Oryzias latipes: one gene and its partner. The protein of the gene in region 1 purifies or fractionates together with the protein of each later gene. This does not show direct contact. Links are inferred from orthologs where the notes say so. Each region holds a gene or a part of one and is shown on either strand. Other genes may lie near its edges.

Evidence for each region. The genes of interacting proteins can lie anywhere in the genome.
Region 2: the proteins of ocrl (region 1) and fam109a purify together in Homo sapiens (co-immunoprecipitation; 5 studies listed by BioGRID and IntAct, counting the BioPlex papers as one, with this or other methods). This does not show direct contact. The link is inferred for Oryzias latipes from reciprocal best matches to the Homo sapiens genes OCRL and PHETA1.

Annotation. Positions count from the first base shown.
Region 1 is NC_019868.2:9,844,935-9,849,245, forward strand, and holds the start of ocrl (inositol polyphosphate 5-phosphatase OCRL-1), read left to right. Parts: upstream 1-1,499; 5' UTR 1,500-1,877; coding exon 1,878-1,919; intron 1,920-2,248; coding exon 2,249-2,328; intron 2,329-4,311. UniProt on the Homo sapiens protein: Catalyzes the hydrolysis of the 5-position phosphate of phosphatidylinositol 4,5-bisphosphate (PtdIns(4,5)P2) and phosphatidylinositol-3,4,5-bisphosphate (PtdIns(3,4,5)P3), with the greatest catalytic activity towards PtdIns(4,5)P2.
Region 2 is NC_019867.2:7,425,201-7,429,313, forward strand, and holds the start of fam109a (sesquipedalian-1), read left to right. Parts: upstream 1-1,304; 5' UTR 1,305-1,982; intron 1,983-2,438; exon of another isoform or gene 2,439-2,442; 5' UTR 2,443-2,506; intron 2,507-4,113. UniProt on the Homo sapiens protein: Plays a role in endocytic trafficking. Required for receptor recycling from endosomes, both to the trans-Golgi network and the plasma membrane.

The sequences.
Region 1 (4,311 bases):
TCTGGTTTCTTCCCCAGGCAATGGCTGCTGGCCCCTGGACTCAGGAACTCAAGATACTGGAGCTGCAAACCTGACGCATGGTGGATCTCGCAGCCTATTGAACGATCAAACAGCGCCCCCACACTGCACGTTGGGGGCACTAACAAATACAAAAGGTTTATTAGTGGTGCCAAGAGACAGCTGTGCACAGAGTAGGCCCTCAGAATAAGAAATGCTATGATTGACTCTGCTTGCTTTCTTTATAACAGTCTTTATTAAAAATCATAGTCATAATTAAAAAGAAAATATTAGTAAAAACAGCTGAACTCACCTGACCCATTCTAAAAATTGTGCTCGCTTTTTAAATGGGTCTCAATTGTGTTGAAGGGTTAAATTTAAAGCATATATGATCATAAAAATACATAAATATCCAAACTGATTTAAACCAGTTCCTGGTTTAAATGCACATACAATATATTCTTCTTCCTTCCTTTGTAGAGAGGCTCAGACCTTAAAATCTGTTAGATTGATCTGATGGGATGAGTGCTGTAAAGGTTGACCTGCTTCATTTTTTGGTGGTTTTGAAAGGAGTTGGCTTTACCGGGCTCTAATATGTGGCACATTTAGAGGTTTTGCATGTCAGCAACATTTTGCTGTAAAACTTTGTCAACGGTCAATGAAGGAAAATAAAAAATGTGCCTTTTACCCGTTACAGGAAACAAACTCTAACATGTAAGATTTATGCAGGTTGATCAAAATGGGTCAAACAACCGTTTTGAACAAATCCTTCTGGGAATTAAAGTTTGATAAATATAAAAGACATCTGTGAGGCAGTTTTTGTGAGGCATCAGTTCTGTACAAAATGATTAACATTGTGGGCTGCTTCAGATTGAATTTAAAGCAATCTGAGCTGAGTAGTTTGTTTCCTATCACTGTGTTGAGATCACATTTGTTCTAAAGTAATTTGTTCTAAAGAAATGATAACATAACTGTACACTACTAAACTGTATGTAAAATAAATTGAGTACAAACATATTTAATATGTACTGAAGTGTAGAAGCGTCTTGCATTCTATTAAAAAAACAAGTGATCTTTGTTCCTAATTTTTTTTGTGTTTTAAAAAAACAACAACAAATAAAATAAACAACAACTGGTGTTTTTCATTCATTTTTTTTGTTCTAAATAAAGCAAAGACCTACAAACAGGCTGGACACTAACCTCATCTGCTCATGAAAACTTTAAGCTAACCTGCATTTAAAAACTCAAAAGACATGAAAAACATATTATTATTACAGTTATGGACAAGCTCTATAAAAACCTACTAAAGCCGTGTCCCAAATGATTAGCTCAGCTAATAAAGGTTCGGTTTAATAAATATTTTCTCTGAATAACTCAAAAGTAAAACATATTTGAAGCATGGGAAAATGTTGATGAGCTAGAAGTGTAATAATTGTGCCAGGGTTGTAGTTCCGACGCCATACCACACGGGGGCGGCAACGCGCCGAATTGTACTTAGAAAACAAAACGCCTCTCGTTGTAGGGAGGAGTGGATTCGACACAACAAACTCTTTTTGCTAATGTTGTAGTGTTTTAGAAGTTTTTTCAACTGAAACTCAACCTGATCTTATTGGAATATCCAATTATTTTAGACACCATGTTGGATCCAAACCAGGATATGTTGGTCGCTCCACTCGGTTGATCATTTCCGAGTCCTTCCAGCAGCTCCAACAACAGCTGGCTAACCAAACAGCCCTTTGCGTTAGCAGCCGAAACCTCGGAACAGCTGCCGGGAGGAGGCCGCCTCGCCGGGTGGGCACCGTCCCAACTTCATCTACCACGAAAACGGCGTTTATTTATTGTGGTGTCAACATAAACCGGACAACGGGAGGTCTGTAAGAATGGAGTCCTCTTCGGGATTATGCGACAATGAATGCCTGGCAATATCCTTTGAGTTGTGTTAAGTGCTGTAGTAGCTTGATGCTAATGGACGAGCTGAGACGTTTTTCTCGTGTTTTATGGGTAAAAATCAGTATAACTGGCCCTCTGACCTTTATTCACAGCTGTATTGACAAGTGTCATGTTACTAACGCCTTAAGAAACATTTCCTAATCCTTGTCATAACGACGCTAACTGTAACTGTGCTACATTGGAGCCATCTTTCCTGCTCCTTTGCTGTCTTATATTCTTGTGGCATGGCTTTGTAACGCGCTAAACTCTGCTAGCAGCTCTGTGAATCCGTCTCTATGAATCCTTGATTGTTGCTGCTCACACTGTCAGATGTCAGGAGCTGAGGTCTGGGGTGAAGGAGCCCAGACTTCTGTCACTCATTTTGGAAAATGGGGATTTTGTGTAAGTATTAGAGTTCTGTAGTTTCCTCTAAATTGTTCTCTGACAGGATATTAAGCCATGATTTAGATAGTGCAGCCTGCTGGTTTAAACCATGCTCCATAATCCTGAATTATTATGCAAACAGTCTGATGTTCACATTGTTTAAAGGTTTGATTTATCTGGTAAAAGGACACTTTTGCATAGATAAACAAAGATACTTAGAGGATGGAGATATGCACATTTGTTATTGTGGTTTAGACCAATGCTGCGATTACAAAAAAAAAACAATATTTTTTTAACACACACTAAAGTCCCACTCCAATCATCTTTTGATCTATTTTTAAAGCGTCACCGGTGCTCTTGTTACAATGATTATACGTTTTTTTAGCTCAAATTAAAAACAATTCTGTGTCGTTTTCTAGGACATAGTTTCTGCAGAGCGGCAGTAATACTCGCCACTGACTTGTTGGTACAGAAGTAAGCCTCCGCTGATGTCCCATTGTCCCTTTTATTTACATGCCCTCTCGCTGGCGTCCAGCGCCTCACGGCCCCAACCTCACATTACCAGTGCAACAAAAATGATGAGCAATATCGGAGCTATCCTGCTGTATAGTTTGGGGCCAGATTCCAGCTCGGATGAGGAAAACAAAGACGTACATTTGTCTCCAAGTGGATGCATAAGCAGAGCAGTGAGCTTGTGGCCCGGCCGGTATATTTTCTAGGAAACAAATAAGCTCTTTTTCAAACTGCATTTTTTTCATCTGCTCCTTATTCCCAATGATTTAAATAAAGAAATACTCAAAAAATGCATTTTAAATTTCATTTTCTTGATATATGTCCTCTATGATCAGAAAAATACCATAAGAACATGTTAAAAACACAATTTTCATTGGAGTGGGTCTTTAGGACATTTTGAAAGGCAAAGAGAACAAGCTTCCCACACAAATATCCATCTTTCCACTGAGATTTGCTCTCACTCATAGCTTCACTCCCTCATCCTTTGTTATCCTTGACAGTTCCGCTGTTTGTTTATGTAAAATCAATATTTAAGGGTGTCAACTGAGAAGGAGGACATAACTTGTGGACATTTCCACCCAGAGCCAGCTCACAGATGATCCCGAATGCCTGCACTGCGTCCTAAACTCTAATGAGACTCACATGGGCTCGCAGACAACATGCTCCGTCCCATAACTGTGTTAAAACCACAAACTAAAACCCGGAGTCGTAAAACAGGGACAAAGTTCCTTGAGCACTAAAAAAAACAATATTAGTTGAAGCAATGTCATAAATTCTGCATTCATTAACTGCTTATTAATGAATTGGTGTCAAACCTTATGTTTTTTTTTATTGTTTCTTGGTTATATTAATTAAGGTTTTTCTTTTTTCACTTAAATTTTTCTTTGTTTAGAACGGGGGCCTGCAACCTTAAACACTCCAGGTTGATTTCCCACTGACCACTTTTATAAAAATAACACTTATTTGTATTTGGTATTGTTATTATTATGATAAATATAAATTATATATTTTTTGGTTAAATAAAACATGAATGGAAAGAGAAAATAGTTTTCTTTTTCTCTTCAGTTCATAGTTTTTGACAGAAGTTTACTTGACTTCCTTTCAAAATAAAAGACACCCTGAGCCTCATAGGATCATCTCAATGCAGGAAATACAGGTAGTGTTATCTCAGCAGTGACAAAAGAATAAAAAACTGTTTTTTATGTTTATGTAGAAGTATAATTTATAAGTACAGAGTCTGTTTAAATACTTACTTACTTTGTAATTTACAATATATTTTTAAAGTTTAAAGCTTTATTTTGGAGGGGAAAAGATTGCAGACCCCTGCTTCAAACCTTCTTTACAGCTTGACAAGCTGTATTTGCTACACTGCATCCGCATGCATCCACCAATAAACGGTGGACAGGTAGAAAACCCCAAAAGTTCCTTTGTTGCTTCATATTCATGTTTTTCGGGGATTTGGTTGTCACCTGCCCAGCCGGGCTGGCA
Region 2 (4,113 bases), on another chromosome or scaffold:
CCTGCTCAACATTTACGATAAAGTTGGAACCTGATCAGCCAATCAGATGGCATTAACTTTTAAACATGGTCAAGGTGACCTGCAAGGATTCAGTGTGAGTATCACAATTGGAGCGAAAGAGGATTTGAACGAGTGAGATCATTTTTTACTTCAGCCTGGAAAGGACTATGTTTTTATGGATCATTCTGACCCAACATTTTCTAATCTTCTCCTGTCCAATCTAAGTGAGTCCTCAGAAACTGGTGGCTCAGTTTCCTGTTCTTATCTCTGACAGGACTGACACTCAGCATTATCCTCTGCTGCTGTAGTCCACCTGCCTTAAGGTTAGACGTGTTGCGCATTCAGAAGTGGATTGCTGCATGCTTTGGCTCTAAAGGCTAATTATTTCATGCCTCTTTCTGTCATCAAGGACCAGTTTCACTGTTTTCCTCTAATCTCTAACATTAAGAAATCACCTATTATCTCCATTCTAATACCCAGCTTAATCTTCATTAAGTGTTCTGGACTAATATTCCACCTTAAAAAAACATAAGCAGCCTTATTGTAACTGTTTTTTAACAATTTAGCTCAGTGGTGTTGAACTGGAGGGCAGGTGATTTATCAGATACTCCAGTCTTGCCTGCCACTGATTAGCTGCATCAGGTGTCCTTTAAAAAATAAAAAGCTGCAAGGCAGGGTTAGTTAAAAAAAAAAACTAGCAGGATTCTCACCCTTGAGGACAGCGGTTTGACATCTGTGCATTAGCATAAACTATTCTATACCCCAAAACACAGACATAAAAGCAACTGCTGTCTTAATAAATCCTGTGCTATAAGAGAATACTATGAACCATTATTTGAAATCACTTCCTGAAACCCCTTAACAATGTTATGCTTTATTTCTGTTCTTGTTATATGAAAAAAAATCTATTTTAATTTTTTAAAAAGGAGGGGAAAAGTAGATCGAATATGGTTCTTAATGAATTTTAAAATAGCACACCATCATTCCAGACATATTCATATTTATGATTTCACATAAATATATTAATTATGTTATAAAATATAAAATATATAGTGTTAAGGACAAGGCACTTGTCTGAGCTTGGCTGGTTAACAGCGTAACTGTGCAAATGACCTTTTTTTGTCTTTACTTGACAAATATTTTCATACAAAGTATATTTTATGTAAACTTTTTTGCAAGTAGCTTGTAATATTCAAATATTGACTCAAAGTTCACCCACTGCCACACAAAGCAATCGCTGTATAAAGACACAATCTGGGCTTTAAAAGTTTAGAAATTCTGTTTGGGATTTGTTTCCTCAATTGGAATGAATCTCAAAAATATGTTTACTTCCTTATTTATTTATATTTGCTATTATTATTATTACTCCAACTATCACAAAATGGGATAATTCAGATTCTGAGTACTCACAGGAAAAATAGTTTGATTCTATGAAATGCAGATCTGATTATCTGAATGCATTTCGAAAGAGCAGGTCTTCATTTTTACACAAATGCGTGTTTCTGATTTGACATGGGGATAATCACCAGGCATTTGCCTAAACGTGGAGATGATTTGTGAATGTGGGGATTAAAATTGGATATTAGTTCTTATTTCTCTGTTAAAGTAGATCCAGAAATATTAAGAAGGACTCACACACCCAAATAAAGTATTTTTTATGTAAGAAAATCCATTCTTGTTTTATATGCGTTTGTTTTTCAGCCAAATTAGCTGCTAAAATGCCAACTTCTCAAGGGCAAAGATGGGGTCCGCGTGTTATTTGTAGCCGTGCGTCCCGCTTCATCTTCTTCACCATGCGCCAACGGAGTTGCACTACAATCTTGAAGACACCCCCCACTACAGATGACCAGGTGTAAAATACAAGTCTCATGTTGAAGGCGAAAAAAAAAGGTCACGTGACAATGGAGCAAGAAAAGAAGGGGGGAAAGATATGAAGAGCACGTAAATGATAAACAACAGAAATATTGTAACTTTTCTAGAAGGTAACATCTCTTTTTTCTTGTCTGATAGTTGCGCGTTTTTGTCACAACTTGTAGACGAGGAAAGGCTAAACAGCTGAATTGCAGCTTCGGCAGAGTAGCTGAACGCGTAGCAGCTAGGAGTTCTGGCACAATAGGTGTATATTTACACACAGTTTAGCTCCCTGACGTTTCTTTTTGTCCGAGTGACTAAAACCTATGTCTGCAACTTAGGACATTTCCTCTTTTTTCCTCACTTTAGTCGATTTATGAGTTTCTTCTTCTCGTCGACTCTGAATCATCAGCTAACACACGACGAAGTGGTCAGAGAGAGAGAGAGGGAAACAACTGATCATGATGTGGAAAATATTGTGTCGTTTAGTTCTAAAACCAGACAGTCAGCGTCCTCTCGGATTATTAACGTATAGATAACCAGCTAAGTTAACGTTGTTTTGATTGGTGCCTTTCTTGTATGTGAAGGCAGACAGAGGATGAGCTGAGATTCCAGGTGGGATGAGTGAGAGAGAGGACTCCACTGTAAAACGCACGTGAGTACTATCAAATCCTACATTTGCTTTTTTTTTAAAGGAACAGGTGTACCAACAAACAAAAAACTTACATTAGTAACACTAAAACAGACGGACAAGAGATGTTATATTGTTGGCGAATCATGAATCTGAAGTGAATCAACTATTTAACTTTAAACCAGAGCTTTCCATCTTTTACCAGGTATTTTCATGATATTCTTTTCCTCCAATAACTCCTTTTCTCATCGTATATTATTGTTTGAACACGTCTAATCCAGGTAATCAGCAGTAACTATTAGCTGCAACAATTTACTTTTCCCACAAGTCAGTTCAAACCACGATGCCAATCTCCCGTTCCACCACATCCCAAAGGTGATCTATTGGGTAAAATAGTGAACACGTCATGTTCAATTAACCCGTCTGAGATGATTCCAGCTTTATGACGTGGTGCCTTATCAGAAGATGGTACACTGTGGTCATAAAGGGATGGACATGGTCAGCAACAATTCTCAGGCAGGGCGTGGTGTTGGAACCATGCTCAATTGGTACTTAGGGGCCTAAAGTGAGCCAAGAAAATATCCCCCACACCATTATACCACCACCACCAGCTGAACCGTTGATACAATGCAGGATGGGTCCATGCTTTCATGTTCTGACCTTACCATCCGAGTGTCGCAGCAGAAATGGAGACTCATCAGACCAGACGACGTTTTTCCATCTTCTATTGTTCCGTTTTGCTGAGCCTGTGTGAATTGTAGCCTCAGTTTCCTGTTCTTAGATAACAGGAGTGACACCCGCTTTGGTCTTCTGCTGCTGTAGCTCATCTGCCTCAAGGTGGGACGTGTTGTGCGTTCACAGATGCTCTTCTGCAGACCTCGGTAGTAACCAGTGGTTATTTGAGTTCCTGTTTCCTCATTATCAGCTGGAATTCTTCCTCTGGCATCAACGAGGCATTTCCACCCACAGACCATTCTCTGTAAAGTCTAGAGATGGTTGTTCGTGAAAATCCCAGTGGATCAGCAGTTTGTGAAATCCTCAGACCAGCCCGTCTGGCACCAACCACCCTGCCACGTTCAAAGTCACTTCAGTCACCTTTCTTCCTCATTCTGATGCTCAGTTTGAACTGCAGCAGATTCCCTTGACTGTGTCTACTTTCCTAAATGCTTTGAGTTGAACGATGAAAACCCTTTCTGTTGGCTTTTACTAAGCCTGGTGTAATAAATAAATAAATAATATATCACTATACATGTCTGACACTTTCAATGTAAGCATATTGGTATGCAGCAGGAACGGTACAGTAGTGTAACATACAGATCAGTTTAAAACTGATGTCGGCATCCCGACTGAGTCGAACAGTGATATTTGCAACCCTCTAGGATCAGAATAACTTTTGTGCTGGGTTTAAAAATGAAATGATTCAAAATGCAAAAGCCTTTAACACATTTATATGTTTAGTTCTTTTTTTTTTTGTAAAAAAAAAAGGCTTTGTGAATATTTTTTTTATTAGTGAAACACATAGTATAGAGTTTTTATTACAAACTTCAAATGTCAAAACCATAAAAACACATAAAATGTACAGAACTATTTAAATATAAGTAAAACAAAAATTATAAACTTCAAACCTTTAT